Linked DNA regions of Anolis sagrei. The protein of the gene in region 4 purifies or fractionates together with the protein of the main gene of each other region. This does not show direct contact. Links are inferred from orthologs where the notes say so. Each region holds a gene or a part of one and is shown on either strand. Other genes may lie near its edges.

Region 1 (7,965 bases), on a different chromosome or scaffold from region 4:
CAATATCACTGGACAGGGGCAAACAGATCCCAACACTGTCCCTCCTTTAATAAGGAATTCACACCACTTTGGCCCTTATAGCGTTTGAGGGGATGTCTCTTTAGTAAAACCTTCGCTGCCACCATAAACTAAAGAATCAGGAACCCTCTAGCTATTTAGAATGTTAAAAAAAAACTGTTTATTCCACCAAGTACTGTATATTACCAAGGGCTTCTTTGAGGGAAAACAGGAGAGGTTGGTTCAAAAAGGAAAGTGACTCAAACCACAAATGCCACTTGACTCAGGCTTAAATTTTAAAAATAACAAGAAAGGTTTATTGAGTAGAAGTTACAGAATAAAAGTTAATGCAGGTTCATAAGCTTGTCTGTTACAATTAAAGTGTTCTTGTTCTTAAAAGGCGTAACGGTTGCTTGAGAGAATGGTTCTATTCTTTGTTACAATTTTTAAACAAAACCCAGCTATTTCTTTTCTAAAAATAGCTGTAACCAGTCTGCCACAGCCTGCTTTGCTGTGCAAACTTCAGGCAAGCTGCCTATTTCCTAACAGAGACTCCTAAAACTCTAATCCTACTCTAACATCACCCAGAACTGAACTGACTTGTCAAAATAGGCTTCTCTCTTTCCCTCCATCTGTCTAACTCCACCCCCCTTTTCCAAACCAATCCTGGCTGTTGCTGGGCTGGCTCAGGCCTAGGCCACTCCCCCTCTCTGAACTGGAGTCTTCCCTAAACCAAGATGGCTCCTGCAGCTCTCTGCCAGGCCTACTAAGCTGAAACTACCTAGCCTGTCTCTTCCTAGGCCCTGCCACCCCCGGCTGGCAAGGTAAGGGATCTTGACATTAGTTTTGAGTGATCTAACTCAAAATCCGCTGGACGAATTGCCACCAAATTTCGCAGCAAGACACCTACTAACTCAAGGAGTAACCATCACTAAAAAGAATTGATTTTGTCATTTGGGAGTTGTAGTTGCTGGGATTTATAGTTCACCTACAATCAAAGAGCATTCTGAACCCCACCAATAGAATTGGGCCAAACTTCCCACACAGAACCCCCATGAGGAACAGAAAATGCTATGTTCTGGTGGTCTTTGGTGACCCTTCTGACACCCCCTCGCAACCCCCCCCCCGAGGGTCCTGACCCCCAGGTTGAGAAATTCTGCCTTAAGGCCATCCTGTCCAACTCCCTTCACCAGGGTACGAAAACATAATCAAAGCCCTCCTGACAAAGAGCCACCAGCCATAGAGCCACCAGCCATAGATGATCCACATACACACACATATATGTATATAATAGATATAGTATAAATTTGAAAGGGACCCCTAAAGAAGGACAATTATATTGTCATTCTCTGCATTGACTTATAGGGAGGCAGGTAAGAAATTAATATTTTATTAGTAACTAGCTTAGGTACCTGGCGATGCTCAGGTCAGGTCTTTTGTAATGCTACTTATAATAAACAGTCATTGCTTGCTTTTATTTTTTATGGATACTCCAATTAAAAATGCGTATCTATGTAACTATATCGTTTGGGTAAGAGTATGCAAATGATGTGCCTAATTTTAGTATAATTTTGTAACAATTCAGTGTATTTTCTATACTAGTTGACTTAAATAATTCCTGCTGCTAGGAATCCACTTGATACAAATTTCTTCGTTTTTCTAAAAACTTGCATCTGTGATCCAAGCTTATTGAAAAAGCAGAATCATGCCGAACTAAAAGCAGAAACTTGATTTACTGCCCAGCTGAGCAGGTGGCAATTGATGACTATGAAAGACTTTATATCAGGAAAAGAAACATTACCTATTAAGGCTGAGCAAAGCTATATGTTGAATTATGGCCCTTAATATCTTAGCATACAAATATTTAATGCAACATACTTATGTTGATGCATTAAGTAAACCAGATATGACTGGTTAAGAACAAGCAAGCTCCCAAATAGCCAAGTACAACCATGAAAGTTATCATTTCGTAAGGTACAGGGACAAAGTGAAGTATTAAATGTTGCTCTATAAAAAGAACTGTGGAGATCTTTGCTTTCAGTATGAATTTAACGTGACTTCAGATTTTTACACTGGACAACACAGCATCACTTCATACGGCGGTTTTGGCTTAATGAAACTGAGATATCAGTTACATGCACCACAAAATGATATGTCTACTTTATACATTCCTAATTAGGTTACAATCATCTCCAAGCTGAGTATAGTGGTGGACCAATACAAGACCAATCCATCCAGTTCCTAACTGTAAGATACAGTACATATAAAATACATTTTAAACACCAGCTGCTAGTCAGTGTGAATTAAATTCATGCGGTATGAGAATTATGGGGATTTGGATGCATCTAGCCTGAGCAGAGCAAAAAGGATCAGGATTATACAGCTGGTCCTCCATATACTTAGCTTAACCTCTGCACTACTAAAGAGCTCCTGAAAAAGGGTTGGCAATAATACACTGGCCGTGCATTACATTGGAAATTAAGCATGTGATGCTGACATTTCTTGATCCCTTCACCATGCATTCAGTTTAATTTGACCCCACTTGTGTCACATACGTCATTTAAATACTGTAATAAAAATTGGCTCATTCAACTCAAAATATTGCCCTCACCTTCTCTTTGTGTTTCTTTCTTGAATTTGATTTATATTTCCCCTTTCTCCCAAGAATGAAACTTAGATTATGTACAAATAAACCAAACACAAGTGAGGCCTAAAATTAATAGAACTAATTGTATTGATTAATAAAATTAATTAATAAAAGATTTATAATACAATTGAAAAGTCATTAAGCTAAAAGTCCCATCTGAAACAAGTAAGAGGCCTGCCTAAATTAAAAAAGTCTTTGCCTGCCAGTGAGAAGTCACTATGATGAGACTCCAGCTTTCTTAAGTGGGTAGTTCCAGAGATATGGAAGGGACAATGAAAACGAGTTATATTTTATTCATTGCAGGGTGACAGATGTGAGGAGATAATTTGAATACCCAAATAATTCCTTTTAAAACTTTATTTAAATTTGCTTTTTGTCAAAAGTGATAAAAATGAAGTCCACAAACAGAAGTTATATTAAAGAAAGCAAGATAAAGCCAGGCACCATCACGGTAAGGATGTGGGGGAAATGGGAGGGGATGGGTTAAGATTATACTCTTCTCCCCCCCCCCCCCCCTTGCCCATGGGTTGAAGTCCTTAGGCTGCATTTGGGGAAAGAAACAGGTCATAAATAAAATCAGGCTGAGGGGCATGTACTTAGGACCAGCCTAGTTAATTGTGTAAATGCAATTAACCTTCCTAATGTACTGGATTTATTTATGTATATTCCAACTTTTTCTGATAGAGAACTCAAGGAGGCTTGCCATTCAGAATAAAAAAAGGATATAGCTAAAATTGGTCATAGAATCAAAGAAGAATTAGTTAACTATCATATTAAAACAACACTGAATTTAAAAGATTGAATGTATTTAAAACCTAGCAAATGAAAGAAACATATAGCACTCCCTATCAAATCATCATTTTCCACAACCAGAAAATAGCCCAAAGTCTGTCAAAAGAAAAGGTCTTTTCCTACTGGAAGAAAGAAAGCAAAGGGGAGAGGCAAACTACCTGCCTTTAATGGAAAACCTTTATTATTGCCAATACAAACCTCTCTTGATAAGCAAGTATCAACTTTAGAGAGTTTTTTCTTATGAGATGGAGAGAAAATTACATTTTACCTCTCGCCCTTTCATGATCTAGTGATTTACATATCAAAAAGAAGCACTCAGTTTCTATATAGGGGTAGCCTATTGACTATGCAATTAAAATCCAACGTCCAGAAACCAGTGATGCCTTTATTGGGCCATCAAATTGCAAAACATGTACCATACAAGCTTTCAAAGATTCACTGCCTTTTTTTATCAAGCAGATATTAAAATCTTACGGGAAAAGAAAAAAAAATGACAACATTTGAGTCACAGACATGTATTTTGTCTCAAATGTTACTTCCATTGTCAGTCAAGATGGTCTTGAAGGACATCGATGCAGGCACAGGACACTCTCCTTATTTCCCATCTGAGTAACAGGACAATGGGCAGTAAAACACTGGCAATAAAATGTAAATCCCTTGAGCAGCATTAAAGTAATTTCCATTGAGCTGCAGGCAAACTCTGACCTGATGAAGGATAACTTCCCCCTCAGACAACAAACACTGAATTTCTCATGGATTTTCTGTGCTGTTTTGTCCGTCAAAACTCAGTCCAAATTAAAGGGTTTTACCTTTGCTGGAGGAAAAAACCTCAAATCCCATACCAATAGCTCCCTCTTCTTGAAATTTTGCCTGTTGTGGCAACATTCAAATCCAGGACATATATTCAAGGACTGCTTGTTGGCCATGCAACAAAATACAACAAAACCAAGGTCTTGTCATGGAAAGTCAAAATCAAAATATTCAACTCCCACAGGGTATATATCTCCCAAAATTGTAACAAGAAAACTATCAGGACACAAAGGAGCTTTACGATGTTTTCTATGCATATGTGATTGTGTATGCTGCAATCTTGCTTTTTAGATGTGCTTAAATGCTACTCAAAAGTTACAGCTTTTTTTCAAGAACAATAATACACTTTCTCAAGGTGAACAGCAGATTCCTAATGAAGTTAAATCAGTCTCAGTGAATAAAACCACGAAGGTATGAGCATATATAGGCAAACATACATGTGTACACACTGAGCATGCAGTAATTGTGGTTAGGATTACTAAAGCAAAACAGCAGCAAGTGCGTTAGTCATCCTAGAATAGGTTTGGTCTCACAAAGGAGGACAAATATCTCAGTTGAACAACAACACCATTGTATGACATCCTTCTGTAAATCCTGATTGGCTGGAATGAACAGCTGAAGGCTTCCTCATTACTTCAGCTCTGTGTCATACAACACAAGCAAGATATTTAAGCAGGGAATTCACTTCCTGTCTGCCGGATTTGTACATTTGAATTGACTGCATCTACAGAATGCTCTCTTTGCTCAGTTTACATGTTTTGAAAGAGGAATTAAAATAGATCCTGTTTGCTGTGTCTAAGAGTAGAAGTAGAACCTACTTTTAAAGGAACGGGACTAATCAAAAGACGTACTATGGACATAAATCCTGGAACCTAAGTCACTAAATTTATCAAGTTCAACTTAAAACAATTTGTAATACTTTTAAGAAAGATTTAGATGTTAAAAATTGTTTTCTCCTACAGTGCAATGTAAAACCGGCAAGACAGAAAACCTTGAGGCACAAATCACGCTGACGTGACTAATAACAAAAATGTAAAGCATGTAATAAGTAATCTTTAAAACACTCCTTGTCGCAGCACATTACACAAGCCAGTGAGTGGTAAACACTGCCTTTTACAGCTGACACACAGCCGCACTTGTGACCAGGATTCAAGACATGATGGGAAAGTCCAACACTGATCCTAAGTTTAGATTTCCAAGGACTATATAAAGACAACATTGAGATAATGTTTATTGCCAGAATATTTTTTCTAATTTCCAACATTTCAAGCTGGACTATTATCTTGCCAGATGAAAGTATTTTTCAAGATGATGTCGGGAAAAAAGGACAAGCTGAATGTGACATTTTCCTGCTTAACCCTCTCAGTGGATAAATCAAAGACGTAAGTATTTAATTTTGACTGTCCCTTGTGGTATAAATGGACAATAATCTGAAAAAGGGAATAACTGTAGCAAAAAAGCTGTAAGAAATTAAAACATTCATATTTGTATCATCACATTTTTAATATTTGTACAGAGAATAGTTGGATGGGCATGAAACAGAGTTACAACAAAGAAGCTTGCCAAGTATCAAACCCTAGGATAATACTTGTGTTCAGTTGACATATTGCAAATCAAATGGATGAGATTTCAGGTGTCTGAACATTCGTATTACGGTATATTCCGCTTTGAGTATCATTAGAAGTTTTATATGCTTACAAGTGCTGGGATCTTCTCAATGTTAGAGTCAAGTTAATTAAATATTTATATGAAATCTGAAACCATCTCAATGTGAAAAAAGAAAGTGTTTTAAGTATGGCATCCTGACTAATTCAGAACAATTACAGGCCGTCCCCAAGTTACAAACAAGATAACTTCTTAAGTTGAATCTGTATGTAAGTAGGGAAGGGTTAACACCTCTGTGGCATTTGTTTTGCTGTCTGCGTCCCTGTAGAAATAAAGGTTGCTCACCTGTAACCGTATTTCTTCGAGTGTCCATCCGTGAAATTCACACTTATGGGTTATCCTTCGCGCATGCGCAGCAATCCGGAACTTCTAGAAATTTTAAATGATTTTTAAATGATTATTTAAGTACAACACAAGCCCCGCCCATCCCCCGCCCCCCCGGTATATAGGCCCTGCCGCGCGCCTGAGAGGTAGTTCCCAAGCGCCAAATAGCGGCGTAACACAAATAGGCATGACAGAGGGGAGGACGGGCGGGTCGTGTGAATTTCACGGATGGACACTCGAAGAAATACGGTTACAGGTGAGCAACCTTTATTTATTCTTCGTGTCCTCCGTGAAATGCACACTTATGGGTGAATAGCAAGCTACTGACCTGGAGGTGGGTCATGCCACGCAGGAAAACAGTACAGCTCTGCCGAAGGCTGCATCCTTCTTGGCTAGTACATCCAGTTTGTAATGGGATGCAAACGTGGACGGTGTGGACCACGTAGCAGCTCTACAGATTTGATCCAGTGGAACTCCACGCAAAAAGGCTTGAGAGGTGGAGACCGATCTGGTTGAATGGGCCACGAGTTGAGATGGTGGCTGTTTCCCTGCCAATTGGTAGGCTAGGCGGATCGTAGAGACGATCCATGAGGCCAACCCCTGAGAAGATACAGGGTGCCCCATCATGTCTTTCCTGTATTTTAAAAACAGTCTGGGAGATTTTCTGTGTGGGGATGTTCTATGGAGATAGAATGAAAGGGCCCTTTTAACATCTAGTGAGTGGAGGGCCACCTCGAGGGGAGAGGATGGGTTTGGGAAGAAGGCTGGTAGTATGATGTCTTGAGACATGTGGAAGTGGGAGACTACCTTTGGTAGAAAAGTGACATTGGTTCGCAGTACAACCTTGTCATCATGAAATCTTATATATGGTGGGTCTGATCGAAGGGCCGCAAGTTCACTGGTCCTTCTGGCCGAGGTGATGGCCACTAGGAATGCAACTTTCCAGGAGAGGTGAGAAATATCATTAGAGGCCATAGGCTCAAAGGGAGGTTTTGATAGTTGAGATAGTACTAGCTCCAGGCTCCATTGTGGTGGGGGAAGGGAGACAGGAGGATGAACATTTTTATACCCCTTTAGAAACAATTGAACCAAATTGTCTTGAAAAAGGGACGGCAAGCCACGTTTTTTCCTAAAGGAAGAGATAGCTGCTAAGTAACATTTAACAGAGGAGAGGGAGAAGCCTTTCTTGGAGAGGTGGACCAGAAAATCCAGCACCACCTGAGTGGGTGCAGTGAGGGGATTGTGACCCACTGATTTTGTGAACGTTGAGAATATTGACCACTTGTAGGTATATGACCTTGTAGTGGATGGTTTATGAGCAGCAAGGAGTATACGCGATACTTCGTCTGAGAAGTTTAATGTGGTCTGATCCTCCACGCCGTCAGGCGGAGGGAGTGGAGGTCTGGGTGGAGAACGAGCCCGTTCTCCACTGTGAGGAGGTCTGGAATGGGGGTAAGATGGAAATAGTCCCCGTTGGAGATTTGGAGAAGGGTGGCGAACCAGTGTTGGCGTGGCCACCAAGGGGTGATCAGGACGCAGTTGGAGTTGTCCTGGATTATCTTGGCTATGACAGGTGACAGGAGGGGGAGGGGGGGAAAAAGGTAGATGAGGTCTGATGTCCAGCGGAAAAGAAAGGCGTCTCCTAGACAGCCTGGGGATACGTGAGGGCGGAGCCTTGCGCAGTATATTGGGCAGTGAGTGTTCGCTGGGGATGCGAACAGGTCTATTGT
Region 2 (7,789 bases), on a different chromosome or scaffold from region 4:
GAAGAAAAAAAAAACCTGTTCATGTATTGTCAAAGGCTTTCATGGCCGGAATCATTGAGTTGTAGGTTTTTTCGGGCTATATGGCCAAGTTCTAGAGGCATTCTCTCCTGACGTTATGCCTGCATCTATGGCAAGCATCCGCACAACCTCTGAGGATGCTTGCCATAGATGCAGGTAAAACGTCAAGAGAGAATGCCTCTAGAATATGGCCATATAGCCCGGAAAAAAAAAAAACTACAACCCAAAATGTTCATGGTTTAAAAGTGTTATTTCCTGTTTAACTATGTGGTACTTACTTTGAAAGTAGTTGTTATATTCCAGAAACTTTGATTTGTGGCTGCCACAAACTACCATATGTTGAATTGGTTGAGATATTAATTGAAAAACTGTAGCAAAATGTGCTGCAGGGTGTCTCGCAAAAACAAAGCTTTTGCAGTTTAATGCACTTTTCCCATGTTTTTATGACAGAACCAATTAGAAAATGACATTTATAACCCAGGAACAAAAATTGTGTTACATAGTGTTATTCCTGAGCTTCCCAGGGGAAAATGTTGCCCATTTTGGGAAACGCAGTTCTAGCTTGTTGCCACAGTTTACTCTATTGAGCGGGGGCGGACATATGCATGAGGTTGAATGTATGGTATCTTGCAAAATAGTCCAGTATTAGAAACATCTAGGCTGTTGCCAGTCTTTTGTACAACAACTTTAAAGGCACAATCACATCTTTTCTTTATGTAAGGAGAACTGAGAATGAATTCTGGTTCTGCCAATGTTTGGATGGATCAGCGGCTTCTCGCCATCATAACTATTTCAATGTTTCATGGAGGTTGCTGTCACTTTCACCTGGTAGGGCAAAGAGGAAACATAGTATTGTAAAAGCAGGCCTTTCTCATATTTAGGGAGGCTACCCTCTAGAACAGAGCTGTCCAAGCTTTTCCTGTTGGTGACACACTTTGCATCTTTTCTTGGCTCAGTAATTAAGTTTTGGTAGCAAACCAGATGTTAAACCAACCTCTTAGAAGAGACATGGACACATATATAAATAGTAATAAGGAAATGCATGGGGATACAACATGTCTCATGAAGCTTCCATTTATATCTTTAGAACTAGCCATCCCCTGCCACACGTTGCTGTGGCCCAGTCTATGTATATGTATTTTTTGTGTGTATATATATGTATATGTGTGTGTATATATGTTTGTGTATATATGTGGTTTTGTGCATGTGTTGTAATGCATTTTTTTGCCTTTTAAGTCCTTTCTGCTGTGTTTTTCAGTGTTTTATGAATGATGGCCACTTGTCTTGTGTCCAAATTTGGTGTCAATTCATATTATAGTTTTTGAGTTATGTTAATCCCACAAACAAACATTACATTTTTATATAGATTATATGATTTATATGAGTGGTTTCTCATTACAATCACGCAGCACACTTACATACCGCCTATTTGGAAAACTTTGAGCTAAAAACTAGAAATATTTTTATCTTCTGTAACCAAAGAACAAAACCTCATTCCAACTTAATATTTGGCAAGTGTTAGACTATGACTCCCATCAGCCTAAGTCAGCATTGCCTGATGGAGAAGAATGAGAGGAGCCATAGCTCACTCCAGACCATCTATCTGGAAGGGCCCTCAGTGAGCGAGTCGCCAGCCTCAAAAAGTCAAACAGAAAAATATTTCTAAAATCTTTTTACACATAAGATGAACTAGTGACAAAGTACAAGACCAGCATATACCAACAACTGAGCCCCTTCCACACAGCTGTATAAAATCCACATGTACTGGATTATATGGCAGTGTGGATTTAAGATTTATTTATCATGTCAGGAGCGAACCAAAACAGTTGTATTGGATTAAAAACAAACAAACAAACAAAACACAAAGTTTTCAGACTTGGTATTCTATTAAATGTCCTTTGACCAATAGCTGGCCACTTGGAGTGCATCTGGTGTTGCTGCAAGGAGGTCCTCCATTGTGCATGTGGCAGGGCTCAGGTTGCATTGCAGCACGTGGTCAGTGGTTTGCTCTTCTCCACACTCACATGTCGAGGATTCCACTTTGTAGCCCCATTTCTTAAGGTTGGCTCTGCATCTTTTAGTGCCAGAGCGCAGTCTGTTCAGCACCTTCCAAGTCGCCCAGTTTTCTGTGTGCCCAGGGGGGAGTCTCTCATTTGGTATCAGCCATTGATTGAGGTTCTGGGTTTGAGCCTGCCACTTTTGGACTCTCGCTTGCTGAGGTGTTCCAGCGAGTGTCTCTGTAGATCTTAGAAAATTATTTTTTGATTTAAGTCGTTTGCGTGCTGGCTGATACCCAAACAGGGAGTGGGCCAGAGTTGTCACTGCCTTGATCCTTTTACTATTGGTTGCTACTTCCTGGCAGATGTCAGGTGGTGCAATACTGGTTAAACAGTGTAATTTCTCCAATGGTGTAGGGCGCAGAGACCCTACACCATGATAATGCGGCATGTCTCATTAAGAGTCCCATCCACTGTTTTAGTGTGATGAGATGTGTTCCACACTGGGCATGCATACTCAGCAGCAGAGTAGCATAGCGCAAGGGCAGATGTCTTCACTGTATCTGGTTGTGATCCCCAGGTTGTGCCAGTCAGCTTTTGTATGATATTGTTTCTAGATCTAAGATAATTGAGTTCAAAGCAGATACTGTTAATTATCAGCCTTGATATTCTTGGGCTCTTTCCAGACAGGCCCTCTATCCCAGGATCTGATCCCAGGTTTCCTGCTTTAAACTGGATTATATGAGTCTGCACTGCCAGATAATCTGGGATTAAACAGAAAACCTGGGATCAGATCCTGGGATACAGGGCCTGTCTTGAAATTGCTCAAGAATTTCAAAGCAGATAATCCACTATATCTGCTTATCTAAGGGCCCTTCCACACAGACACATAACCAAAATCTCAAGTCGGATAATTCACAATCTATGGCAGTGTGGACTCAGATAAACCAGTTCAAAGTAGATATTGTGAAAATTTCTGCCTTGATATTGCGTCCCCCCAGGGGTGAGAAAAGCAGTATATAAATGCTGTAAATAAATAAATATTCTGAGTTGTATGGCTGTGTGGAAGGGCTCAAGAGTCCACACTGCTACAGAACCAAGTTCAAAGCACATTTATTTCGCATCAAAAGCATTGCATAAATGTGTATAAAACTGATAAAAATAGAAGGCGCGCAGGCGGCTAAATATCTTTGGACCAAAAATGGGCAACAGCTACGGCATTGTCTGTAGACTCCAACAATTCCTCCTCTGTACATGAGGCAGGGCACAGTGGACAAGCATACAAAGCAAACAACATGTGATTTTATGCAGCTGTGTGGAAGGGCCCTGGGTTGAGAAAAAGCGGGGGATTCCCTGTTGCGAGGACGCCTCTGGATTCCCCGCCTGTCTGTCCGTGTGCTTCAATGGGATTTTGGCCTGCATCAATAGGAGCATAGTGTCTAGATCTAGGGAAGTAATGCTACCCCTCTATTCTGCTTTGGTTAGACCACACCTGGAATATTGTGTCCAATTCTGGGCACCACAATTCAAGAGAGATATTGACAAGCTGGAATGTGTCCAGAGGAGGGCGACTAAAATGATCAAGGGTCTGGAGAACAAGCCCTATGAGGAGCGGCTTAATGAGCTGGGCATGTTTAGCCTGAAGAAGAGAAGGCTGAGAGGAGATATGATAGCCATGCATAAATATGTGAGAGGAAGCCACAGGGAGGAGGGAGCAAGCTTGTTTTCCGCTTCCCTGGAGACTAGGACGCGGAACAATGGCTTCAAACTACAAGAAAGGAGATTCCACCTGAACATGAGGAAGAACTTCCTGACTAATGTATTGTCAAAGGCTTTCATGGCTGGAATCACTAGGTTCTTGTGGGTTTTTTCGGGCTATAGGGCCATGTTCTAGAGGCATTTCTCCTGACGTTTTGCCTGCATCTATGGCAAGCATCCTCAGAGGTAGTGAGGTCTGTTGGAATTAGGACAATGGGTTTATATATCTGTGGAATGGCTGGGGTGTGGCAAGGAGCTCTTCCCTGCTGGAGCTAGGTGTGAATGTTTCAACTGACCACCTTCATTAGCATTTGAAGGCCTGGCTGAGCCTGGGAAAATCCTCTGTTGAGAGGTGTTAAGATGTGCCTGGTTGTTTCCTCTCTGCTGTTTTGCTGTTGTAATTTTAGAGTTTTTTAATACTGGTAGCCAGATTTTGTTCATTTTCATGGCCTCTTCCTTTCTGTTGAAATTGTGTCCAATTCTGGGCACCACAATTCAAGAGAGATATTGACAAGCTGGAATGTGTCCAGAGGAGGGCGACTAAAATGATCAAGGGTCTGGAGAACAAGCCCTATGAGGAGCGGCTTAATGAGCTGGGCATGTTTAGCCTGATTGTGAGAGCCGTTCAGCAGTGGAACTCTCTGCCCCGGAGTGTGGTGGAGGCTCCTTCTTTGGAAGCTTTTAAACAGAGGCTGGATGGCCATCTGTCAAGGGTGATTTGAATGCAATATTCCTGCTTCTTGGCAGGGGGTTGGACTGGATGGCTCATGAGGTCTCTTCCAACTCTTTGATTCTATGATTCAACACTTTGGCCTCCTAGAGAAAACACGCAAGGGACTTGGAAGCTTCCCCAGCGGACTTGAGGAAGGCTCCTCTACAAGTCGTAGCTCTATATCCACAGTGTATCTATCTGTTCCACCGTTGTCGATTCAAGGCGAATCTCCCACTTTTTTTTTTTTTTGCTTCGCGGAGGCGGCTTTGTGGCCGCGCGGCGGTGACGACACGGCGGTGGGCGGGGCCTCTCGAGGCGGGCGTGGATTCCGGCAGTTCAGGCAGGCGAGCGGGCGGGCGCGCGCTGCTGGGCCGGCGCGAGGCAGCTCTGAGGGGGTCTCATTGAAGGCTTTCGGCGGCGCGAGGCGGATGGGCCGCCTCGAGGAGTGAAGGCTCCCCCTCCCTTCCCCGGCGGTGCGCGCGCGCGCTCAGGCCCGGCTTCGAGGGGCGCCATGGAGGGCGGCGGAGGCAGTAGTGGCAGTGGCCGCGGCGGAGGTCCGTCAGCGCGAGGAGCCGGCCGCGAGAAGAAGAAGGGCAAGAGCCCTGAGGAGCCCACAGTGGCGGCGGTTTCGGCGGGAGACCCCAGCGGAGGAGGAGGAGGAGGGGGGAAGTCCCGGAAGTTTGTGAGTGTTGACGAAAGGAGGGGAGGGGGAGGCGCACCTGTCCGGCGGAGGAGAAGGAGGAGGCAGGCAGGCAGGAAGTTTCTTCCCTCAGTGGCCCTTTCCCCCTCCTTCCGGGTCTCCTCCCTTCCCTGTCCTCACACCTCTCTCTTCTCATTCCCTCACCTGGCTCAGGAGTGGCCTCGTGGCCCAGAGGGGCACTTGCTCTTCAAGTGTCAACCCTCGCCCCATAGTTTCTCGTTCTCTCTTTAAGGAGCCTTCTTCCTTCCTCTTTTAGGCAAGCCCTGTGTGTTCTGTTGCCTTCTGTATGGTTTGGAACAGAGGTGGCCCCAAGTCACAGAGTTCACTACTAGTGCTTCATGGGGATGTTTTGTAATTTAGCTCAAAAGTTGGAGCTCTCAGGGCTTGACTCATGAGCCATCACAGCCCTGCTCACTGCTGTGTACCACTGCTTCTTCCAAAGAGGGTCCGCTTTGCTCAGTGTTGGTGCCATGAAAATGTATTTATTTATTTATTTATTTAAAACATTTATATTCCGCCCTTCTCACCCCGAAAGGGACCCAGGACTGACCACAGCATGTAGAATCATAGAGTTGGAAGGGACCTCATGGGCCATCCAGTCCAACCCCCTGCCAAGAAGCAAGAATATTGCATTCAAAGCACCCCTGACAGATGACCATCCAGCCTCTGTTTAAAAGCCTCCAAAGAAGGAGCCTCCACCACACTCAGAGAGTTCCACTGCTGAACGGCTCTTACAGTCAGGAAGTTCTTCCTCATGTTCAGATGGAATCTCCTTTCTTATAGTTTGAAGCCATTGTTCGGTGTCTTAGTCTCCAGGGCAGCTCCCTAGGACTTCCCCTCACATATTATACATGGCTACCATATCTCCTCTCAGCCTTCTCTTCTTCAGGCCAGACATGCCCAGCTTTTTAAGCCGCTCCTCATAGGGCTTGTTCTCCAGAACCTTGATCATTTTAGTCACCCTCCTCTTGACACAGCTTGTCAATACCTTTCTTCAATTGACTATGTGTTCTGTTGCCTTCTGCCATGGTTTGGAACAGAGGTGGCCCCCAGTCACAGAGTTCACTACTAGTGCTTCATGGGGATGTTTTGTAATTTAGCTCAAAAGTTGGAGCTCTCAGGGCTTGACTCATGAGCCATCACAGCCCCCTGCTCACTGCTGTGTACCACTGCTTCTTCCAAAGAGGGGTCCACTTTGCTCAGTGTTGGTGCCATGAAAATTTATTTATTTATTTATTTAAAACATTTATATTCCGCCCTTCTCACCCCAAAGGGGATCCAGGGCTGAGCACAGTATATAGAATCATAGAGTTGGAAGAGACCTCATGGGCCATCCAGTCCAACCCCCTGCCAAGAAGCAAGAATATTGCATTCAAAGCACCCCTGACAGATGGCCATCCAGCCTCTGTTTAAAAGCCTCCAAAGAAGGAGCCTCCACCACACTCCGGGGCAGAGAGTTCCACTGCTGAACGGCGCTCACATTTATTTATTATTTATTTCGGTTTCTTCTACCCCGCCCTTCTCACCCCGAAGGGGACTCAGGGCGGCTTACAAAGGCACAATTCAATGCCAGCATCACATAACAGTAATAAAACAAATAGCATCAATTAACAGTTAAACAACCATTCCTGCATTACAACAATAAAACCAATACAAACCCAATTACTCCTCATTGATGGTCAGCGTTCGCTATCTCATAGTCCAAATTCCATTTCCACATTGTCAATCCTGTCAGTCCTAATCGTCTGCTTGTCCTTATCTAGTTGTCAGATTGCCCAGTCAGGAAGTGCTTCCTGATGTTCAGATGGAATCTTCTTTCTTGTAGTTTGAAGTCATTCCTCCGCGTCCTAGTCTCCAGGGAAGAAGAAAACAAGCTTGCTCCCTCCTCCCTGTGGCTTCCTCTCACATATTTATACATGGCTATCATATCTCCTCTCAGCCTTCTCTTCTTCAGGCTAAACATGCCCAGCTCCTTAAGCCGCTCCTCATAGGGCTTGTTCTCCAGATCCTTGATCATTTTAGTCACCCTCCTCTTGACACATTCCAGCTTGTCAATACCTTTCTTCAATTGACTAGTGGTTCATGGGGATGTTTTGTAATTTAGCTTTAGTTGGAGCTCTCAGGGCTTGACTCATGATCCATCACAGCCCTCCTCACTCCAGTATACCACTGCTTCTTCCAAATGGGGTCCGCTTTGCTCAGTGTTGGTGCCATGAAATTTATTTATTTTATTTGAAACATTTATATTCTGCCCTTCTCACCCCGAAGGGGACTCAGGACGGAGCACAGCGTATATAAGGCAAACATTCAATGCCAGAACAAGAATTCATATACATAAACATTAAAAACATTAATCAAAATCTATATAAATAAAAATGTAATGTTCGTTTGTGGGATTAACATAACTCAAAAACCGCTGGGCGAATTGACACCAAATTTGGACACAAGACACGTATCAGGCCAATGTGTGACCATCACTCATAAAATCACTGAAAAACATACATATATACACATATACACAAATGTATACACACACAAAGCAACAATCAGGCCAACAAGTGACCATCATAGAATCAAAGAGTTGGAAGAGACCTCATGGGCCAT
Region 3 (7,415 bases), on a different chromosome or scaffold from region 4:
TCGCCTCCTCACGTGACCCTCAAGCAGCAGAAGGACAAAGGAGGGGAAGAGAAGGAGGAGGGAGGGGGGAAATGTGTGTCTTCCGTGACGTCACATCCTGGCGGGGTTATTTACTTTATTTATGGTGTCAGGACTCAAATTGAGAATACAGGTCTAATGCATTAAAAGCCACACACACACACAAAGTTTGCAAATTTGGCATTCTATTATATTTCCTTTGACCAGTAGCTGGCCCCTTGGAGTGCCTCTGGTGTTTCTATAGGAAGTGTCTATAGGAAGGGGTTGAGAAGGGCGGGGTAAAAGTACCAGAAATAAATAAAATAAGTGTCTTAGCCTGCCACTTTTGGACTCTCGCTTGCTATAGGAAGGGTCTTAGCCTGCCACTTTTGGACTCTCGCTTGCTATAGGAAGGGTCTTAGCCTGCCACTTTTGGACTCTCGCTTGCTGAGGTATTAATGGATTAGCCTGCCACTTTTGGACTCTCACTTGCTATAGGTAGGGTCTTAGCCTGTCACTTTTGGACTCTCGCTTGCTGAGGTATTAGTGACTTAGCCTGCCACTTTTGGATTCTCACTTGCTATAGGTGGGGTCTTAGCCTGCCACTTTTGGACTCTCGCTTGCTATAGGAAGGGTCTTAGCCTGTCACTTTTGGACTCTCGCTTGCTATAGGAAGGGTCTTAACCTGCCACTTTTGGACTCTCGCTTGCTATAGGAAGGGTCTTAGCCTGCCACTTTTGGACTCTCGCTTGCTATAGGAAGGGTCTTAACCTGCCACTTTTGGACTCTCGCTTGCTATAGGAAGGGTCTTAGCCTGTCACTTTTGGACTCTCGCTTGCTATAGGAAGGGTCTTAACCTGCAACTTTTGGACTCTCGCTTGCTATAGGAAGGGTCTTAGCCTGCCACTTTTGGACTCTCGCTTGCTATAGGAAGGGTCTTAACCTGCCACTTTTGGACTCTCGCTTGCTATAGGAAGGGTCTTAGCCTGTCACTTTTGGACTCTCGCTTGCTATAGGAAGGGTCTTAGCCTGTCACTTTTGGACTCTCGCTTGCTGAGGTATTAGTGACTTAGCCTGCCACTTTTGGATTCTCACTTGCTATAGGTGGGGTCTTAGCCTGCCACTTTTGGACTCTCGCTTGCTATAGGAAGGGTCTTAGCCTGTCACTTTTGGACTCTCGCTTGCTATAGGAAGGGTCTTAACCTGCAACTTTTGGACTCTCGCTTGCTATAGGAAGGGTCTTAGCCTGCCACTTTTGGACTCTCGCTTGCTATAGGAAGGGTCTTAACCTGCCACTTTTGGACTCTCGCTTGCTATAGGAAGGGTCTTAGCCTGCCACTTTTGGACTCTCGCTTGCTATAGGAAGGGTCTTAGCCTGCCACTTTTGGACTCTCGCTTGCTATAGGAAGGGTCTTAGCCTGCCACTTTTGGACTCTCGCTTGCTATAGGAAGGGTCTTAGCCTGCCACTTTTGGACTCGCGCTTGCTATAGGAAGAGTCTTAGCCTGCCACTTTTGGACTCTCGCTTGCTATAGGAAGAGTCTTAGCCTGCCACTTTTGGACTCTCGCTTGCTATAGGAAGTGTCTTAGCCTGCCACTTTTGGACTCTCGCTTGCTGAGATGTTAGTGGCTCAGCCTGCCACTTTTGGATTCTCGCTTGCTATAGGGTCTTAGCCTGCCACTTTTCGACTCTCGTCTGCTGAGGTATTAGTGGCTTAGCCTGCCACTTTTGGACTCTCACTTGCTATAGGTGGGGTCTTAGCCTGCCACTTTTGGACTCTCGCTTGCTATAGGAAGGGTCTTGTTCATTTGTTCAGTCGTTTCTGACTCTTTGTGACTTCATGGACCAGTCCACGCAAAAGCTCCTTGTTGGCTGTCACCACCCCAGCTCCTTCACGGTCAATCCAGTCACTTCAAGGATCCCATCCACCCACCTTGCCCTTGGTCGGCCTCTCTTCCTTTTTCCTTCCATTTTCCCCATCAGGAGCCCAGGTGTTTCTCAGATGGAAAAAGTCAAATACTTTTGTGGCATGATTTTCAGTAATAAATTTGTTACCTTCTGCTATAAACATATGAAAATAGGGCATAAAGCCTTGATTAAATTATACACACCAAAATGACCAAGGCTTAACCCAGTGGTTCTCAACCTTCCTAATGCCGCGAACCCTTATTTATGTGTCATCAGCAACCATACCATTGTATTACATTTCTAACAGAACAAAACAAGCAAACAGATAAAAAAACCCACAAATTTTGCAAACTTGGCAGTTGATTAGATGTCTTTTGACCAGTATCTGGCCCCTTGGAGTGCCTCTGGTGTTGCCGCAAGGAGGTCCTCCCTTGTGCATGTGGCGGGGCTCAGGTTGCATTGCAGCAGGTGGTCAGTGGTTTGCTCTTCTCCGCACTCGCATGTCGTGGATTCCACTTTGTGGCCCCATTTTTTAAGATTGGCTCTGCATCTCGTGGTGCCGAGCGCAATCTGTTCAATGCCTTCCAAGTTGCCCAGTCTTCTGTGTGCCCAGGGGGGAGTCTCTCATCTGGTATCAGCCATTGATTGATGGTTCTGGGTTTGAGCCTGCCACTTTTGGACTCTCGCTTGCTGAGGTGTTCCAGCGAGTGTCTCTGTAGATCTAAGAAAACTATGTCTTGATTTAAGTCATTGACGTGCTGGCTGATACCCAAACAGGGGATGAGCTGGAGATGTCTCTGCCTTGGTCCTTTCACTATTGGCTGCCACTTCCCGGCGGATGTCAGGTGGTGCAATACCGGCTAAGCAGTGTAATTTCTCCAGTGGTGTAGGGCGCAGACACCCCGTGATAATGCGGCATGTCTCATTCAGAGCCACATCCACTGTTTTAGTGTGGTGAGATGTGTTCCACACTGGGCATGCATACTCAGCAGCAGAGTAGCATAGCGCAAGGGCAGATGTCTTCACTGTGTCTGGTTGTGATCCCCAGGTTGTGCCAGTCAGCTTTCGTATGATATTATTTCTAGCACCCACTTTTTGCTTGATATTCAGGCAGTGCTTCTTGTAGGTAAGAGCACGGTCCAGAGTGACTCCCAGGTCTTTGGGTGTGCTGCAATGCTCCAGTGGGATTCCTTACTAGGTGATCTTCAGAGCTCGGGATGCTTCTCTGTTCTTGAGATGAAAGGCACATGTCTGTGTTTTAGATGGGTTAGGGATCAGCTGGTTTTCCCTGTAATAGGCAGTAAGGGCACCTAGAGCTTCGGAGAGCTTCTGTTCAACCATCTCAAAGCTCCCTGCTTGAGCAGTAATGGCACGATCATCAGCATAGATGAATCTCTCTGTCCCTTCTGGCAGTGGCTGGTCATTTGTGTAGATGTTGAACATGGATGGAGCAAGCACGCTCCCCTGAGGCAGGCCGTTCTTCTGTTTCCGCCATTTGCTTCTCTGGCCCTGGAGCTCAACAAAAAAGCTCCTGTTTTGTAGCAGGTTTCCTATGAGGCGGGTGAGGTGGTTGTCCTTTGTGATACTATACATTTTTCTCAGGAGGAGGTGGTGGTTCACAGTCTCATAGGCTGCTGACAGGTCTACGAAGACAGCTCCTGTGATCTGCTGCCTTTCAAAGCCATCTTCTATGTGCTGAGTCAGGTTCAGCACTTGCGATGTGCAGCTTTTGCCTTTTCTGAAGCCAGCTTGCTCGGGGGTCAGACATGGGTCTAGATTTTCCACAATTCTATGCAAAAGAAGTCTCTCCAGAACTTTGTAGAGGTGGCACAACAGGGAGATTGGTCTGTAGCTTTTTGGGTCACTACGGTCTTTGCCTGGCTTCAAGATGGCAATGACTCTTGCTTTTCTCCAGATTTTGGGGATCTGACAGGATGCAGTGCAGTTGTTGAAGGGAAGGTTGAGAGGAGACATGATGAGGGCCATGTATAAATATGTGAGAGGAAGCCACAGGGAGGAGGAGGGAGCAAGCTTGTTTTCTGCTTCCTTGGAGACTAGGATGCAGTGGAACAATGGCTTCAAGCTACAAGAGAGGAGATTCCATCTGAACATGAGAAAGAACTTGAGAAAGAGCCGTTCAGCAGTGGAACTCTCTGTCCTGGAGTGTGGTGGGGGCTCCTTCTTTGGAAGCTTTTAAGCAGAGGCTGGATGGCCATCTGTCAGGAGTGATTTGAATGCAATATTCCTGCTTCTTGGCAGAATGGGGTTGGACTGGATGATGACCCATGAGGTCTCTTCCAACTCTTTGATTCTATGATTCTATGTTGACAGGCCTAGGAAGCCAGGCTGACCCAAGAAGAAGAAGAAGAAGAGCAGGAGGAGGAGGAGGAGGAGACGCTCGTCACGTGACGCCCCCTCACGCCTTGTTTTCCCCAAGCGAGGGGCGGAGCTGCGCGCGCAACGCGTGCGTGGTGACGTAAGCTGCGCGACGAAAGAGAGGAGAGAGAGAGAGAGAGGGCGGCTTCGTCCCTTCGTTCTTCCCCTTTCCCCCTCCCTTTTTTTATTTTATTAACCCCCCCCCGCTATTAACTTTACCTGCCCCCCCTCTCTTCGGTAACGTGGGCGCGGCCTAAAGGAAGGAGAAGAAGGAGGCGCCTGTGCTTCCGCCCTTCCGCTGGTTGCCATGGCGATGGCGGGCTCCGGGCCTAGCGCGCCGCCTCAGCCTCATCCTCCTCCTCCTCCTGCTCTTCTCAACGCCGCTTCTGCCTCTTCTTCCTCCTCCTCCTCTTCCTCCATGCAGCCCGCGGGCGAGACGAAGGTGATCTACCACCTGGACGAAGAGGAGACGCCTTACCTGGTGAAGATCCCGGTCCCGGCCGAGCGCCTCACTCTAGGCCACGTCAAGGCCGCCCTGGCCAGGCCTGGCGCCAAGTACTTCTTCAAGAGCATGGACCAGGACTTCGGGTGAGGACTCCCGAAGGGGGAGAAGACAGACATCCCTCCCCATGTGCCCCCAAGGAAGGGCCTTGGGCGTTTGGGGAGGGCCCTCTTCTGAGGCCCTGCCCTGCCCTTCAACTCCATTCTTTACAGGGAGATCCTACCCAAGCCCTCCCAACAGATGGCCTTCCACTCTCCAATTATTATTGTTATTAGAAGTATAGAATCCTAGAAGGGGGCCCCAAAGGCCACCCAGTCTGACCCCATTCTCATCTACTTGAATATCTTACCCAAGCCCTCCAGCCTCTGATTATTACTGTTATTATTTATTTATTTATTTATTTCATTCACTTATACCCCGCCCTTCTCACCCCGAGGGGGACTCAGGGCGGCTTACAGGGAGGGCACAATTAGATGTCCAATCACACAACAAGTAATCCAAAAAATATAACAATTCAGCAGTTAGATTAAAACATCAATACATAGTAAAATCATAAAACCTAAACCAATCTCATGTCAGAGTCCATATATCAGTCCATACATCTGTTCTATTCCGTTTGTCCTTGTCTATCACCAGGTCCTTGAGTTAGTTGTCAGAGTGACCAAAAGCTTGGTCCCACATCCAGGTCTTTAGTTTTTTCCTAAATGCTAGGAGGGAAGTCGCCGATCTAATCTCCCCGGGGAGTGAGTTCCACAGGCGGGGGGCCGCCACCGAGAAGGCCCTGCTCCTAGTCCCCGCCAGCCTCACTTGTGAGACTGGCGGGGTCGAGAGCAGGGCCTCCCCAGAAGATCTTAAACTTCGAGGTGGGATGTAGAGGGAGATCCGTTCGGACAAGTACACTGGGCCGGAACCGTATAGGGTTTTATAGGTTATTAGAAGCATAGAATCCTAGAAGGGGGCCCCAAAGGCCACCCAGTCCAACCCCATTGCGTGTTATTGTCTATATATTATTTATTATTTATTTATTTACTTTGCTTATATACCGCTGTATCTCAAGCCCGAAGGCGACTCACAGCGGTTCACAAACAGTAAAAACAGTAGAAACAGCAGTGGTTCCATACAACATATAACAATTGACTTAACACATTATCCATAAATTACCAATAAACAATTACAATGCACAATTATTACAAAAAAAACAACCGTACCCAATCTTCTCATCACCCAAGCGTAGTCCAGGTTCGTCGTCCATTGTTCCATTCCTATGTTCCATTACCAGATTGCACTAAATTACTCAAACGCCTGCACAAACAGCCAGGTCTTCACCTTTTTGCGGAATACCATTAGAGATGGTGCTAGTCTAATGTCCGTAGGAAAGGCAGTGGTTCTCAACCTTCCTAATGCCGTGACCCCTTAATCCAGTCCCTCATGTTGTAGTGACCCCCAACCATTATATTGTTTTCGTTGCTACTTCATAACAGTCATTTTACTACTGTTACAAATCATAATGTAAATATCAGATATGCGGGATGCATTTTCAGTCACTGGACCAAACTGGGCACAAATACCCAATGCACCCACATGTAAATGCTAGTGGGGTTGGGGGAGGATTGATTTTGTCATTTGGGAGTTGTAGTTGCTGGGATTTATAGTTCACTTATAATCAAAGAGCATTCTGAACTCGATGGATTTGAAACAAACTTGGCTCCCATGACCAATGGAAAACACTGGAAGGGTTTGATGGGCATTGACCTTGAGTTTGGGAGTTGTAGTTCACCTATATCCAGAGAGCACTGTGGACTCATGCAATGGACCAAACTTGGCACGAATACTCAATATGCCCAAATGTGAACACTGGTGGAGTCTGGGGAAAATAGATCTTGACATTTGGGAGTTGTAGTTGCTGGGATTTATAGTTCATTACAATCGAAGAACATTCTGAACTCCACCAACGATAGAATTGGCTCAAACTTCCCACATGGAATCCCCATGACTGTCATAAAATACTGTGTTTTCTTATGGTCTTTGGCGACCCCTCTGACACCCTCTCGCGACCCCCTCAGGGGTCCCGACCCCCAGGTTGAGAAACACTGGCGTATGGGGAGGGCCCTCTTCTGCTCCGCCTGAGGCCCTGCCCTTCCCATCAGCTCCATCCTTTACAGTGAGATCCTGCCCAAGCCCTCCCAACAGATGGCCCTCCAGTCTCCGATTATTATTGTTATTAGAAGTATGGAATCCTAGAAGGGGACCCCAAAGGCCATCCAGTCTGACCCCATTCTCATCTACTGGAATATCCTACCCAAGCCCGCTCAACAGATGGCCCTCCAGTCTCTGATTATTATTGTTATTAGAAGTATAGAATCCTAGAAGGGGACCCCAAAGGCCACCCAGTCCGACCCCAAGCCCTTCCAACAGATGGCCCTCCAGTCTCTAATTATTATTGTTATTAGAAGTATGGAATCCTAGAAGGGGACCCCAAAGGCCACCCAGTCCGACCCCAAGCCCTCCCAACAGATGGCCCTCCGGCCTCTGATTATTATTGTTATTACAAGTATAGAATCCTAGAAGGAGACCTCAAAAGCCACCCAGTCCGACCCCATTCTCATCTGCTGGAATATCTTACCCAAGCCCT
Region 4 (7,349 bases):
TGATTAATGCCATATTTCTTGGCTCTGTTGTTGTTGTGAATGATAAGTAAAATACCCCGGCCAGGAGGGCATTCCTCACCATGTCCTGCAGCTCCCGCAGCTGCTTCCCGGTGAGGCCCCCAATGCCCAGGTCATCCTCATCCTCATCCAGCTGCGAAGGCCCTGATCCAGAGGAAGAGGAGGAGGGGCCTTGACGGATGAAGAACTCCTCGTACTGGTCCAGGAGGAGACCGTGCAGCATCCAGGCCGATAGCTGCTTGTACATGGCTGCGTGGCAGGTGGCCAGGATTCTGCAGCGGGGGGGGGGGGGGGGGGGGAGGGGTACAGGTGAAGAGGAGGGGCTTCGGTGGTGACCTTTGGCATTGAGAAGCAGGTACCCCCTCCTAATCCTCCTCTTATCAGTGGGCCACTTCAGTAAGGAGACAGGGAGAAGTGTCAGAAATATAAATAAATTAACTAGGTATTCTTAATTACAAAAATGTGAGTCAAGCACTGAAAGGGTTAAATCGATGCAATGACTCAGCAAAAGCTGCAGTTCTATATAGGCAGCTTAGAATACCTCGTTATGAGCAGGCCTCAGTGGGAGGAAGGCCTCAGTTTGAGAGGCTTCAGTCTAAGTACACCTCAGTGTGAGAGAGAGCCAATGTGAGAAGGCCTGTGTGTGTGAGAGGCCTCAGGAGGCCTTAGTGTTAGAAGGCCTGGTGTGAGAAGCTTTGGTGAGAGAAACCACAATGTGTAAAGCTACTGTGTGAAGCTTCAGTTTGAGAGGAGGCTCTGTGAGAGCAAAGCTGTTTATCTGCATGAGAATGAAGCCCAGCGTGGAAGCAAAGAAGGAAGTATAAAGGACTTTATTTGTGTTATGAAAACTTTGTTTTTGTAAAAGTGAAACCATATTATTTTGCTAGAAAGAAAAGCCTTCAAAGGAACTTATAACGTTGGTCTGTGTGTTTTTGTTCTTTTTATCATTTTGGCTAATGGTGCTGGTTCACACTACTGCCAATAAGTTACTCCAGTATACTGTTATGGGGAGTGGTCTTTTGTTAATAAACCCTCTCTCCCAACAAGGAGGTCAAATAACAACAGGGGATGAAGTGAGATTGGGGAGGGGGGGGGAGAGCACCTACAGCAAGCAAAGGAAGGATCAGTACCTCTCCAGGGCCTGGCGGACAGGGGGTAGCCCTCCACGGCTGTGCCTGTGGACCACCTCCAGGATCTGGCAGCCATGGATCTGCAAAGAGAGAGAGAGAGAAGCTGTCCCACAAAATCAACTTAATGTTGTGTTTCAGCATTGAGAGGGATTCAATGGTTTCCCCATATTTCACAAAATAATAGTATAATGCAGATGCTTCTAGACATGCATCACAATTATATACGTAATGCCTACTGAGATGAGAAGAAATGGCAGTCCTGCCTTGCTGGACACCACTGTTGTGGTGTAGGAAGGAGCAGAGTCCTTGGGAGGGGGAACATTTTCTTCTAGCTTCAGTCGGCTTCTGTAAACAGAGGTCTACTCTTCCCTCCTTCCCTCCCTTGGTGACCCCCGCTGACCACCAACCCCCTCCTCCTTGCACCTACCTTCTGGGTCTTGATCTGTTCTACCACAACCATCAAGGAGGGGAAGAGGAGCTGGAACTGCAAGAGAGGATGAGGAAGGAAGCATCAAAGGTGTACCTGGGCCTTTCCTGCAGCATCTCTTCCTGGCCAAAGGGGGGCAACAATCATACCTGGTCCAGGGAGTAGTTGAGGTGGGCGATAGTCAGGTGGGGGTCGGCCAGGAACTGCAGAGAGAGAGAGAGATGGGTCAGAGGAGCCCCCCCTTGAATCATAGAATCCTAGAGTTGGAAGAGACCTCGTAGGCCATCAAGTCCAACCCTCTGCTGAGAAGCAGGAAAATCACACTCAAAGCACCCCCAATAGATGGCCATTCAGCCTCTGTTTAAAAGTGTCCACCACACTCCAAGGCAGAGAGTTCCCCTGCTGAACAGCTCTCACAGTTAGGAAGCTCTTCCTAAAGTTTGGGTGGAGCCTTGTCCCCAGATCCCGCTGTGACCCCCTCACCTCTAGCTCCAGGTCCAGCAAAGCCTGGCGGTAGGGCTGCAGCACGGCGTCAAGCCCTGCACAGAAGGCGCGTAGGTAGATCCCCGGCGGAGGCAACTCCTGCAGTAAGAAGGAAAGAAGGGTCAAATAATGACTGATTTATGGACAGATCTGGCTGCAATCTATGTTTGAAGGAATTCAATTGAGATGAGAAGTGGCATACAGGGAGCACACAACCCCTCTGTTGTGTCCGCTCCACTGGCTGCCAGTCTGCTACCGAGCACAATTCACAGTGTGTGGCACTGAATTGCTGCCTGTTGCAAGGGTGCCCTGAGTCCTCCTCCTGATTGAGAAGGGTGGGGTACAAATGTGACCAATACATAAATAAATAACATAAATACTACCATAAAAATGATGAAGATGATAATAATAATAATAATAATAATAATACATTTATTTGCAAGTGTATTACACTAAATGTCCTATTGAATAATCCCTCATTGACATAATACTATATAAACATATCCAACAAAAATTATATATAAAAATGGTAACACACACACACAATTAATAGTGATAAAAATAATACATTTATTTAATAATACATTAAATGTCCAATTCCCCTCCTGGAAATGATAATATATAAAATAATGACACTTCCAATAATAATTGCATATAGAAATGATCACACACTCAAACACACACACACACAAATAGTGATAAAAATAATACATTTATTTGCAAGTGTATTGCATTCAATGTCCAATTGAATAATCCCCTCCTGGAAATGATGATAATATAGAACATAATAACATTTCCAATAATAATTATATACAAACTAATAACATGTGTGTGTGTGTGTGTGTGTGTATATATATATATATATCTCATAATAATAATACATTTGCAAATGCATTGCACTAATACTCCTATTAAATAATCCTTCATTGACGTAATACCATATAAAATAACATATCCTACAATAATTATATATAAAAATGATAATACACACACACACACACAAATAGTGATAAAAATTATAAATTTATTTGCAAGTGAATTGCATTCAATGTCCAATTGAATAATTCCCTCCTGGAAATGATAATAATATATAAAATAACATTTCCAATAAGAATAATATATAAAAACAATAACATATATTTGTATGTATATATATATGTGTGTGTATATATAATAATAATAATAATAATAATAATAATAATAATACATCTGTTTGCAAGTGTATTGCACTAAATGTCCTATGGAATAATCCCTCATTGATATACTATATAAAGGTAAAGGTAGTCCCCTGACATTAAGTCCAGTCATGTCTGACTCTGGGGTGTGGTGCTCATCTCCATTTCTAAGCCGAAGAGCCAGCGTTGTCTGTAGACACCTCCAAGGTCATGTGGCCGGCATGACTGCATGGAGCGCCGTTACTTTCCTGCCGGAGCGGTACCTATTTATCTACTCACATTTGCATGTTTTCAAACTGCTAGGTTGGCAGAAACTAGGGCTGACAGCGGAAGCTCACGCCGCTCCCTGGAATCGAACCTGCGACCTTTCGATCAACAAGCTCATAATAATATATTATTATTATTTTATATTTTATATTATTATATAAAACAATAATATAGCCAACAATAATTATATATTTTGTATATTTTTATATACAAAATAATAACATATCCAATAAATAAATATTATATATAAAAACGATAACATATGTCTATATATATATATATATATATATATGCTGTAACAATGCTCATAATAATAATAATACTACTACATGTATTGGCAGGTGTCTTGCATGCCATGCTGTCCCAATGCAGCTTTGCTCACCTGTGGGGGCGGGGCGGGCGGGAGCGCCGGGGGCGGGGCCTGCGCGGGAGGGGGCGGGGCCTCGCCGGCATTGCTGCTCTGATTGGCGGGCTCGATGAACTCGCTGAAGCGGAGGTAGAAGGAGCCGAGGCGGAGGAGGCGGCCTAGCAGCGCGGCCTCGCTCGGGTGAATCAGCCCCGGCACCGCTTCGGGAGCCACCTGTCGGAGAAGAGGGAGAAGCGCGTTTCAGGAGAGACACAGAGAGAGACACTTGGGGGCGGGGCCAAGGCAACCAGGAGGGGGCGGGGCCACACCTGCAGCCCCCCGCTGGCCACGAAGAGCCCCCCCGCGTAGCCCCGCAGCGCCAGGAGCAGCTCGTGGATCATCCCGGAAGGAAGCAGAGGGGCACGTGACTGACTGGCGGAGGCGCGGAGGGGGCGGAGCTAGCCGATTGGGCGGGAACGTTTCCCGCGCATGCGCCCAAGGCCCGGGAAGGGCTGCTTCCGGCCGCGCCTTGTCAGTCAGTCAGTCAGTCAGGCAAGGCAGGAAGGAAGGCTAAGAGCGCGCCTTCTCCGCTTGGAGAGAGAGAGAGAGAGAGAAAGATGTCGGCCGCGGAGGAGCTTGAGGGCGCGGCTCGGCCCCACTATGGCTGTGAGTGGCCTTCCGTCCTCATTTTCTTTCCGAGGGGAAGGGGAAGGAGACCCTTCCTGACGCCCCTCCCTCTATTTTCCCCCTTCTGTAGCGGTGCTGGACAACGAGCGGATGACGGCGGAGGAGATGGACGAGAGGCGCCTGCAGAACGTGGCCTACGAGTACCTCTGCCACTTGGAGGAGGCCAAGCGGTGAGGAAATATAAGGGGGCGAAGAGGGCGGGGCCTGTGAGAAAGGGGTCTGGGTAGGCGTAAGCTGCCGACTGTCAGCCCACCTTACTGTTGACCTAAGTAGAAGAGAAAGGGGCGGGGCTTGTGAGAAAGGGGCGGGGCTTGTTCTGCGGAAGAGAGGAAAGCCGGGGCTTTAGCACAGCCCAGCAATGATAAGATCTACCAGCAGAAAAAGGCTGCCAGTTTGAAGCCCTGGGTAGGCATAAGCTGCCAACTGTCAGCCCAGCTTACTGTTGACCTAAGTAGAAGAGAAAGGGGCGGGGCTTGTGAGAAAGGGGCGGGGCTTGTTCTGCAGAAGAGAGGAAAGCCGGGGCTTTAGCACAGCCCAGCAATGATAAGATCTACCAGCAGAAAAAGGCTGCCAGTTCGAAGCCCTGGGTAGGCATAAGCTGCGGACTGTCAGCCCAGCTTACTGTTGACCTAAGTAGAAGAGAAAGGGGCGGGGCCTCGCGTAGAGGGGGCTTTCTTGCTCTCAAGGTGGAGGGACCAGGAAGTGCCTTGCTCTACCCATCTTTATTTTCTTCTATGGCTCCTAGTTTCTCGTTCCTCTGCCTTTTCTATACTCAGCTTGATATTGACAAGCTGGAATGTGTCCAGAGGAGAGCCACTAAAATGATCAAGGGTCTGGAGAACAAGCCCTATGAGGAGCGGCTTAAGGAGCTGGGCATGTTGAGCCTGAAGAAGAGAAGGTTGAGAGGGGATATGATAGCCATGTATAAATATTTGAGAGGAAGCCACAGGGAGGAGGGAGCAAGCTTGCTTTCTGCTTCCCTGGAGACTAGGACGCGGAACAATGGCTTCAAACTACAACTGGATAGCCCATTAGGTCTCTTCCAACACTATGATTCTATGAGGGAGAGCCAAAGTTGGCTCATGCCTGGCCTAGAAGATGATTTGTACAATATTTAAGAGGGCTGGAGTAAGTAGACTGAGAGCTGTTGCAAAATCCACCTCTTTGGGCTGAACCCCGGTCACAAGTTAGGGTCTGAGGTCCTCAAGAGTGAGAGGGGGACTCTGAGGGGCCTCCTCCTTTCTTCTCTCTTTCTACTCCTCTTCCACTCCTTCCTTCTTCTTCCTCCTCCTTATCCTCCTCTCTTTCTCTGTTCCTTTCCATAACCCCAGAGCTACTTCCCAGTCTTTCTAACACTCTGAGGGTGTATTTCTAAAGACAGTGATACCTTGACTTATAAGTTTGATTCGTGCCGTGAACAAGCTCTGAACTCAGATTCCTCTCATCTGAACATGAGGAAGAACTTCCTGACTGTGAGAGTCGTTCAGCAGTGGAACTCTCTGCCCCGGAGTGTGGTGGAGGCTCCTCCTTTGGAAGCTTTTAAACAGAGGCTGAATGGCCATCTGTCAGGGGTGATTTGAATGCAATATTCCTGCTTCTTGGCAGGGGGTTGGACTGGATGGCCCATGAGGTCTCTTCCAACTCTTTGATTCTATGATTCTATCTGGCAACTCTCTCTCCGTGTAGATAATGTAGAAAGGCAAGGACTTTCAGAAAAACATCTATTTCTGTTTTATCGACTACTAGCCGTCCCCTGCCACGCGTTGCTGTGGCCTACATAGGGGTTCTGTGTGGGAGGTTTGCCCAATTCTATTGTTGGTGGGGTTCAGAATGCTCTGTGATTGTAAGTGAACTATAACTCCCAGCAACTACAACTCCCAAATGTCAAGATTCTATTTTTCCCAAACTCCACCAGTGTTCACATTTGGGCATATTGAGTATTCATGTAGAGTTTGGTCCAGATCCATCATTGTTTGAGTCCACAGTGATCTCTGGATATAGGTGAACTACAACTCCAAAACCAAAGGACACTGCCCACCAAACCCTTCTAGTAGTTTCTGTTGGTCATAGGAGAACTGTGTGCCAAGTTTGGTTCAATTCCATCGTTGGTGGAGTTCAGAATGGTCTTTGATTGTAGGTGAACTATAAATCCCAGCAACTACAACTCCCAAACGACAAAATCATTTTTTTAAGAGTGAAGGACATACATTGGGTTGTTATGTGTCTTGTGTCCAAATTTGTTGTTAATTCACCCAGTGGTTTTTGAGTTCTGTTAATCTCACAAACAAACATTACATTTTTATTTATATAGATTCTAAAGCCTTAGACTTTGTGGATCATAATAAATTGTGGCAAGTTCTTGGTGGTATGGGAATACCAAATCACCTTGTCTCTCTCCTGAGGAATCTGTACAAGGACCAAGTAGCAACAGTCAGAACTGACCATGGAACAGCACACTGGTTCAAGATTGGGAAAGGCGTACGGCAGGGTTGTATCCTCTCACCCAACCTATTCAACTTGTATGCAGAACACATCATGCGGTGTGCAGGGCTTGATAAATGCAAGGCTGGGGTAAAAGTTACTGGAAGGAACATTAACAACCTTAGATATGCAGATGATACCACTTTGATGGCCGAAAGTGAGGAGGAGCTAGGGAGCCTTCTGATCAAGGTGAAAGAAGAAAGTGCAAAAGCTGGGTTGCAGTTAAACATAAAAAAAACCAAGATTATGGCAACCAGACTGATTGACAACTGGGAAATAGAGGGAGAAAACGTGGAGGCCGTGACAGACTTGGCATTTCTAGGTGCAAAGATTAC

The links.
Region 1: the proteins of IQGAP1 (region 4) and HECTD1 purify together in Homo sapiens (affinity purification with mass spectrometry; 3 studies listed by BioGRID, with this or other methods). This does not show direct contact. The link is inferred for Anolis sagrei from reciprocal best matches to the Homo sapiens genes IQGAP1 and HECTD1.
Region 2: the proteins of IQGAP1 (region 4) and DIAPH1 purify together in Homo sapiens (affinity purification with western blotting; 3 studies listed by BioGRID and IntAct, with this or other methods). This does not show direct contact. The link is inferred for Anolis sagrei from reciprocal best matches to the Homo sapiens genes IQGAP1 and DIAPH1.
Region 3: the proteins of IQGAP1 (region 4) and DVL2 purify together in Homo sapiens (affinity purification with western blotting; 3 studies listed by BioGRID, with this or other methods). This does not show direct contact. The link is inferred for Anolis sagrei from reciprocal best matches to the Homo sapiens genes IQGAP1 and DVL2.

The regions. Positions count from the first base shown.
Region 1 is NC_090021.1:298,826,806-298,834,770, reverse strand, and holds the start of HECTD1 (E3 ubiquitin-protein ligase HECTD1), read left to right. Parts: upstream 1-4,955; 5' UTR 4,956-5,628; intron 5,629-7,965. UniProt on the Homo sapiens protein: E3 ubiquitin-protein ligase which accepts ubiquitin from an E2 ubiquitin-conjugating enzyme in the form of a thioester and then directly transfers the ubiquitin to targeted substrates.
Region 2 is NC_090024.1:135,161,407-135,169,195, forward strand, and holds the start of DIAPH1 (protein diaphanous homolog 1), read left to right. Parts: upstream 1-4,786; 5' UTR 4,787-4,996; coding exon 4,997-5,167; intron 5,168-7,789. UniProt on the Homo sapiens protein: Actin nucleation and elongation factor required for the assembly of F-actin structures, such as actin cables and stress fibers. Binds to the barbed end of the actin filament and slows down actin polymerization and depolymerization.
Region 3 is NC_090026.1:4,388,399-4,395,813, reverse strand, and holds the start of DVL2 (segment polarity protein dishevelled homolog DVL-2), read left to right. Parts: upstream 1-4,413; 5' UTR 4,414-4,588; coding exon 4,589-4,869; intron 4,870-7,415.
Region 4 is NC_090029.1:22,411,979-22,419,327, reverse strand, and holds the start of IQGAP1 (ras GTPase-activating-like protein IQGAP1), read left to right. Parts: upstream 1-4,335; 5' UTR 4,336-4,463; coding exon 4,464-4,512; intron 4,513-4,603; coding exon 4,604-4,703; intron 4,704-7,349. Other genes in the region: TUBGCP4 (gamma-tubulin complex component 4), read right to left, coding at 80-290, 1,149-1,228, 1,576-1,632, 1,725-1,778, 2,059-2,157, 3,883-4,080, 4,176-4,247. UniProt on the Homo sapiens protein: Plays a crucial role in regulating the dynamics and assembly of the actin cytoskeleton.